Mus musculus: one gene and its partner. The protein of the gene in region 2 interacts with the protein of the main gene of each other region in a biochemical or structural test. Links are inferred from orthologs where the notes say so. Each region holds a gene or a part of one and is shown on either strand. Other genes may lie near its edges.

The links.
Region 1: the proteins of Prkcb (region 2) and Rack1 form a complex in vitro, tested with the Homo sapiens proteins (2 studies listed by BioGRID). The link is inferred for Mus musculus from reciprocal best matches to the Homo sapiens genes PRKCB and RACK1.

What each region holds. Positions count from the first base shown.
Region 1 is NC_000077.6:48,798,929-48,803,263, reverse strand, and holds the start of Rack1 (receptor of activated protein C kinase 1), read right to left. Parts: upstream 2,905-4,335; 5' UTR 2,801-2,904; coding exon 2,692-2,800; intron 2,400-2,691; exon of another isoform or gene 2,332-2,399; intron 1,602-2,331; coding exon 1,430-1,601; intron 1,232-1,429; exon of another isoform or gene 1,155-1,231; intron 992-1,154; coding exon 844-991; intron 126-843; exon of another isoform or gene 58-125; intron 1-57. UniProt on the Homo sapiens protein: Scaffolding protein involved in the recruitment, assembly and/or regulation of a variety of signaling molecules. Interacts with a wide variety of proteins and plays a role in many cellular processes.
Region 2 is NC_000073.6:122,456,515-122,460,128, forward strand, and holds part of Prkcb (protein kinase C beta type), read left to right. Parts: intron 1-700; coding exon 701-812; intron 813-1,529; coding exon 1,530-1,658; intron 1,659-3,614. UniProt on the Homo sapiens protein: Calcium-activated, phospholipid- and diacylglycerol (DAG)-dependent serine/threonine-protein kinase involved in various cellular processes such as regulation of the B-cell receptor (BCR) signalosome, oxidative stress-induced apoptosis, androgen receptor-dependent transcription regulation, insulin signaling and endothelial cells proliferation.

The sequences.
Region 1 (4,335 bases), on a different chromosome or scaffold from region 2:
GAATCCTAAGATGACCCCCAGAGCTCACCCACTACTCATAGAGTACAGGACCAGGCACAGCTCAGAAACAGCCTCTGGATTTCAGCAAAGCAACTCAGATGGCATGTTGTGGTCATCACTGTTGGGCCTGGCTTGTAGCCCCTTAAATACACATCTCTAGGAGGTAGGTGAGAGACTTAAGATCATTTAACCCTTAGGGCAGTTTTAGTAGATATCTGGGTATCTGCGTATGTGCCAAGACCCTGCCCAATTTATGCCCTGGTTTGGGTTTCCATGGCCCAACCTAATATGGAATGAAAGGGGGAAGTACCACCTCTAGCTAGCCTTTTAACCCCAGCAGTTTAAAAGCACACCCATCTCAGCCAGATCTACACAGAAACCCCTTCTCAAACAAATAAAAAATTCTGGGGCTGGTGAGATGGCTCAGCTGTTAAGAGCGCTGACTACTCTTTCCAGAGGTCCTGAGTTCAAATCCCAGCAACTACATGGTGGCTCACAACCATCCTTTAACAAAATCTGATGCCCTCTTCTGGAGTGTCTGAAGACAGCTACAGCGTACTTAAATAAAATTCCAACGCCTGTAAGTCCCATGCCAGTCACAAGCCAGCATGCTTAGCTTAAAAATAACAAAAAACAACCCCAGACAGTCACAGGACTAACAACACACAATGAAAAGCTAAAGAGGCAGTCGGTGGCACACAGCTTCACCCCAACACCTAGGAGTCAGATCACTCCAGGCCACCAGGACTACCTAGTGAGGAACCCACCTCAGAAACAACCCAAGTCCCCAGGGGGCGGGAGGTAGCCCTGAACATGCTGTCCCTACCACCCTTATCCCTTTACCTGGACCGTGTACTTGCAGACACCCAGAGTATTCCATAACTTTATGGTCTTGTCTCGGGACCCAGAGACAATCTGCCGGTTGTCAGAGGAGAAGGCCACGCTCAACACATCCTTGGTGTGGCCGACAAATCGCCTTGTGGTGGTGCCCCTAAGAAGGAGAACCTGGTCACTTTCTAGACAGGTTTTGTCCATCCAGCTAGAGCCTTTTCCTAGCTTCATCCTTGCCCCGTAGGCTCTATTACCCCACACAGTCCACACGTGGCTTAGAACCTACTACTAGCCTATGTCATGTCTGACATGTATCAGAGAACCCATTCAGAATTGCAGGACATGTCCTCATTCCCTTGTGGGGGATTGGTTGACAATGTCGTCTTGTCATCACTAGGATCCTCTATTACATCTGCCAAATGCCCATCTAAGACAACGTACAAGATGAGACACTTCATAGGTACCCAGTTTAAAACAACACCCCCAAATGTTGCTTTACCCTCTACAAAAGGACCAATTACCAAGGGGAGACTGCACCCCGGCGAATCTACCTCAGTTCTGCCCACTTTCCCCCCAAGATTCCAAAGCAGCTACTTGCGTTGTGAGATCCCAGAGGCGCAGCGTTCCGTCCCAGGAGCCCGAGAGGGCAAACTGACCATCAGAGGAGATAACAACATCACTAACGAAGTGGGAGTGACCTCTCAGAGCACGCTGTGGTATGCCATAGTTGGTCTCATCTCTGGTCAGCTTCCACATGATGATGGTCTTGTCTAAAAGGGTTGGTAAAGGTTGGTATAAGCCTACTTACTGTGCACCATTTACAGTCTTAAAGTCACTGGGGCCAGTAAACGGGACAGAGAAACTTCAAGTTATAAATAAAAGAGGCTTACTACTCTACAATATCAAGAGCTGTAGATCTCAGCTGTAATGTGAGACTATGGGCACCACACTTCCTGGGATTGAGACTTAAGTTCCACATTCAAAATGTATTTTATTTAAAGTGGCTCCCTACATACATATGTGTGCTACCTGTGTCTATGGTGTTCAGAAGTGCGTGTCAGGTCTCCTGGAACTAGTTTCAGATGACTGCAAGCTACCATGCAGGGTCTGGGAAACTAACCCTAACCTTAGTCATCGTCCGGGCCCGAGACTAATTAACAGCAGAAGCACCACTTGGGTGTATGTAGGCTGAGCAGAGACAGCCTTTCCCGCCTGAGAGTTACTGAAATAAATGCAGCCGTTATTGTAGCATCAGACACAATCCTAGCCACGAACCAACTTACACAGAAACGGACAATAATAAGCCTAGTATTAGGTAGGAGAGAAAATGAGCATAATTTTGGGGTGGGTAGGGAGGAAATACACATGAAGATACATCATTAAAGAAAAAAAATCATTAGTTACAAGAAAACCTAGGGCGGGACAATCAAGTCCGGAAATGTGGGGAACAAGGCATCTACAAAGTTTACCCACTGTCTATAGTTTAGGGCCAGGCGACAACAGCTCAGAAACAGCCTCTGGATTTCAGCAAAGCCACTCAGATGGCATGTTGGGGTCATCATTGCTCCGCCCGTCTTGTAGCCCCGTAAAACTACTTAAACACATCTCCAGGAAGCAAGCGAGAGATTTAAAATCGCCAACTTTGGGAGGTGGGGTGTGAGTACAGTTGCGCGACGTGTCTCGGTTTCCGTTCATGTGTAAAGGGTCGTCCCGGTTGGGGCCCAAGTTGGGGTATGCACGCCCCAACTAACAACTGGGTTGGGGAATGAACCGAGCCAACACGCGCGCCACTTGCTTAACCACGAGACTCTCATGCAGTCCCCAGGACACCGGGTGATTTACCCGGCATGCAGCCCGTACCTCGAGACGCAGACAGGATCATGTCCGGGAACTGCGGTGTGGTGGCGATCTGTGTTACCCATCCATTGTGGCCCTTAAGGGTCCCGCGAAGGGTCATCTGCTCGGTCATGGCTGCAGTTGATGCGAGGGTCGCCGCAGCGACAAGGATGGCACCGGATAGCTCAGAGAGCCAAGCACCACAGCGGCTGCCACCACGACCCTGTGGAGAAAAAGAAAGAGCGGCCTCCGCCGGAACCGGAAATACTCGGAGAGCAAGGCGGGGATTCCCATGATTCACTGCTGCTCAAAGATAGCTGCACTGAGAAGTGGGAGGAACTGGGAGAGTAGGTCTCAAGTATCGTCGTTTCTTCTGCCACGCAACCTAGTTTGGCAGCGCTGTACAAATGCATTCTGAAGCCAGATGCGCCAGGGTTTTAGAAAGGCTTCTCGGGAGATTAAAGCATGCCGTGGAAGCAGAAGTGGGGCTGAGGGCACACAAGCAAACTACAGTGGCCTCTCCGCCCTTACGTGGCAGAGACGCGGCTCCGCCCTTTCCGCTTCTGTTCAGTTCCTTGGTTGGAGACCCCGGCTCCAACTTTGACTTACGGAAGTACAATTAAAGTCGCAATTAGAGGCGTGTGCCAGCAAATCTGGCCTGTTTGTTTGTTTTATGGCAAAATTTCATGTAGCGAAGGCTAGTCTTAAACTGGTTGTGTTGCCAAGGATGGTTTTGAACTACCGACCTGCTTCTGTCTCCCAAGTACTGGAATTATAAACCGAGCCGCCGCCCGGCGAGGCTATAAAGGAGGAAGTGCTGGGTTCAGATTTCTGGGGATTCTGTTGGAAGCCCTTTCTGTGCCTCTGATCATTCCCCAGAAAAGCCTGCTGGTCTGTCTTGTGCTGCCCTGAAAGAAGTGTTCCCGGACGGGGAAGCAGAGGAACACGGATAGCCTGGCAACCCGATGACCTCAACACGTGTTCAAATTTTGTAGTGTTTCCAAATGTCACAGATCTGGCCTTAAAAAGTTTTAACTGTATGTTTTAAAGTATTTGTGTGTGAGTGCGCTTGTGATTGCCACAGAGCACTGGCTGAAGTCAGGAATTTTCTCTCCTGCCATGTGTGTTTGGCTACAGCCGATTTGTTCAGCTTCACTTTTTTTTTTTTTTTTTTTTTTTTTTTTTTTTTTTTAAGGAGCACACACAGGTCAGGAAGGTAAGCAACCACTAATGTCTATGTGAACTAAAGGATACATTTAATTATTTATTTTAGTGCTATGGGTTGAACTCCCACATGCTAGGAAGAGTGCCTTACAGAGTTAAATCCACCCAACTCCCAGCCTTGTTTAGTTTTTGTTCGTTTTTTTGTTTGTTTTTTGTTTTTCGAGACAGGGTTTCTCTGTGTAGTCCTGGCTGTCCTGAAACTCACTCTGTAGACCAGGCTGGCCTCGATGATGGAATTCATCACCACATTCAACCTTGTTTCGTTTTGATTCAGGATGTGCATAGCTCAAATTGGCCTTAAATTTATGATCTCCCTTCCTCAGCCTGCCAAGTAACTAAGATTATAGCCCTAAAACACCAAGCCCTAGGTATAAGTATTTGTTTTTCTTTCTTTTTTTTTCTTTTTTTTGGTTTTGTTTTGTTTTGGAGACAGTGTTTCTCTTT
Region 2 (3,614 bases):
AAGGCGTTGTCCAAGGCTGTTAGGCTGGCTCTGTTCTCAGGCTCCAAGTTTGAGTTTAAGGTCATAACATTTTCTCACTTTCTGGCCAGTAGGGAGGGCAAAAGAGGCAAGAGGCACATGTATGTTCCTTTTAATGGAATGATCCAGAAGTTTATACTTCCCATTGATCAGAACCCATGGCCACATCAAGCTACAAAGGAAGCCAGGAACTCTGGTGTCTATTGAGCATGGCCTCCGCTATAATTCAAGGGCTCTGCTGTGAAAGGGAGGGGTGGAACCCCGGCCCTCTCGGCCACGGCTTGTAGACTGTCCTCTGTGAAGGTTGTTCCCTGAGGGTCAAATGACCTGTAAGTGGGAACACTTTGTGGTTAGACTTGGGTTTAGATCACTCTAGAAGACTGTTTGCAGAAGGAAGGGGTGGGTGGAGCTAGGAGCAGGGGGCCTGCTGAGTGCTAGGATTTGCAGGTTGGCCCTGTGAATGCCTTCTGGACATGGAGTTTGACCAGTCATCTGTCTTACGTACCCACCCCTCTGACCCCACTTGTCTAGTATCGAGTCCGTGCATGGTGCTCCAGCGATGGTCCTGACGGGCATGGCAGGACCCGGTTCAGTCCTTCATGAGTTGTCCATTCAATGCAGGCACAGTCCTCTGCTCTCCTCACTAACGGTGGCCTCTTCTGTCTGTTTCTCTTGGTCTCAGGACCCCCGGAGCAAACACAAGTTTAAGATCCACACGTACTCCAGTCCTACCTTCTGTGACCACTGTGGATCGCTGCTGTATGGACTTATTCACCAGGGGATGAAATGCGACAGTAAGTCCTTGACGTCCTGGGGGGCATGTGCCACAAGAGAGGCTTCTATCCTAATGGCTTAGGGTCCACGTCTGCACTGTGTCCCCTGACCCCTGGGTAGGAAAGGTACTGTTGTTACCCGATGTCCTGTATTGAGGTCTTCTCCCCATAACAAGGTGGGCCAGCTCATCCCCGTGCAGAACACTTCCTATACACCACCTCCCTGTTGTGTCCGCTCTCTGGGGAACTCAAGCTATTAATGTCACTACTTTAAACTAGGAGATATCTTACGTAAGTGTGTTCTTGATGACATTAAACATGGGGCAGTTTGACAACATCGTGTAAACATTCCTATAGGGTCTACTTGGGTGGGTGTGGCCTTGTCCTCCACGGGACCACCTCCACATCTTCCCTCACTTGCAGGATGGTGCACTGGGCATTTGAGTTGGCACTTCAGAACCACAGGAGTATAGAAATATAGAGGTACTGCTTCAGGCTATAACTTAGCCTTCAAGGAGAATGACCCCCATCCTTCCTTCATGCATCAGGGTTGGGAGAAAGATTTGGAGAAGTCCTTCTGATAGGATGTAACTTGTTCTCTGCTAGGTGGGTGTCACTAAGGTCAGGGAACAGGAAGGCACCGGTGGGTCTAGGTACAGCTGATGCCTGGAGCCCCCAGCGTGGGCCAACCTGAACCAGCCTGAGCCATTCCTCCCTTCCCTCTCTCTGCCCTCACAGCCTGTATGATGAACGTGCACAAGCGCTGCGTGATGAACGTCCCCAGCCTCTGCGGCACTGACCACACGGAACGCCGCGGCCGCATCTATATCCAGGCCCACATCGACAGAGAGGTTCTCATTGTTGTTGGTAGGTGGCCCCGAGGCTCCTGCATCGGGAGGTGCCCGAGCTTCAGGGTTCCAGAGTTCCGTGAACATGTGAGGGGGTGGGGGTGGGGTGGGAAGGGGTGAGGGGGTGGGAGGTGGGTGGGTGGGGGTGGGGATAGTGCCCAGGCAGGTCACAGGTGCACGGAGGGGCATAATGTGCATAATGTGGCTGCTTTGCTCCTGCCTCCAGTGTGGCCCTTCTCCACAGTGAAGTCCTCAGACTGTGGAACCTCAAAGCCACCTTCTCAGCACTTTGAGGTGGCTTCAGCTGCCTAAAGGGCAGCTGAGCCTTCCAGGCTTCATTCTAAAAACAAAATGTGAAATTGAAATTATAATAATTGTATTTATTTGTGGCCACAGTATATCTGACACATGTACAATATGTGACCATCAAGTCAAGGTAACCTTCATGTATCTCTGGGCCACCTGAGCCCTCCATTCGCCCTTCTTTAAAACAACAACAACAATAGCAGCAACAAAGAATGTGTAATTAAAATACAGTAATAGTATACATTTGTGGACGTGGTATATTTTGACACATGTGCAAATCATAATGACCAAATCAAGATAATTTTCACATATGTCTGCACTGCTCAGACACCTATGGTTTCCTTGTATTGAGGATACTGAAAGGACTTATAATTTCACAGAATCTTCTTCCTGCCTCCTATCTGTTCTCTCCGCGTCTCCTGGAACGTGAAGTGCCTGTGCCCTTTTTCAGATAACAGAGAAGGCATCCTTGCTTCCTCCCCAGACTTTTCCAATGGGAACATAGAGTCTTGATGACCAACACCAAATTTGGAAGAATTTATGTCTTAAAGAGGGAGGGAGGGGGTATGCAGGCCAGAGAACTATCCGGGGCCTCCAAAATTTATTTTAACCTGTTGGGAGCTATGCCAATCACTATAATATTCTGCATACTTGTTTTGTGTCTGAACTGAGAAAACACAGCAATTTGCCTAGGAGAGGAGACACACAAAGGGCAGAAAGAAGGGCCTATCTGCTTTTCTGTGGTGAGCATCTGTGATACTCAGAGAATAGGAATTCACCTGTGCTGGACTGGCAGAGACTTACCCGTTCCTCACGGCAAAACCAGTACAAAAAAACTAGACACAATGGTGTGGGGATTTGAAGGAACCGTTTCTTCCAGGCTTGCGACACAAACTCTGTAGACTTACGTAACTAATTTGTATATACAAGGCCTCACCATTTCATCACGGAAGGAGTCGGTTTTGTTAAGTTGGCCAATTTCTGAGGCCCCAGAAGGGTTTAGTAGCACTGACCTGCTGAGCCCTAATGTGGTCAGAGTTTGCTTAAACCATATAAAAGTTAAAAACTATAACTCCTTTTTGAAAGGGCCGTTTCAGAAACCTGGTGAGTTCTTAGAGAAGATGGCTTCATCAAGAGGCTTTTCCTTCAAGGACAGGCCAAGGGAGGAGGCAGCTGTCTCCCAGAGAGGTGCTTGTGGGGTAGGAGTGGGACAACAGAGAATCTTAGGGTAACAAGTTCAAGGAAAGCCTGCCCTATCCCTCACCATTGACTTGAGCCTTCAGTGCCTGAGGGACAAAAACTGAGGCTCTGCTGCCACCTAGTGGTTGAAAACGGTTGCCATGGGCAGTCACATTTACAGAGTGTATTTAGAGCCACAGGACCATCTTGCCTGATAAGTTCATTTTAGGAATGTGATCTAGGGAAGTGAGCATTATCCTGGTACCCATCCTGAAACAGGTTCATCAGGTGCTCAGTTCCCCAGCTAGGTCCAACTGACTTGAAAGCACTCTCCTATACACACCAAGTTACTGTTTTAGCTTAGCTTCGTCTCGTTGCTTAGTTTCCCATTTATTTCCTTTTCTAGTTTAGCAGCAGTAGCTCTTAGGGGAATCCACTCGGAGTCTTTGATGATTTGAGGGCACAGGAGTCTTTTGAGCTCAAGGTCAGG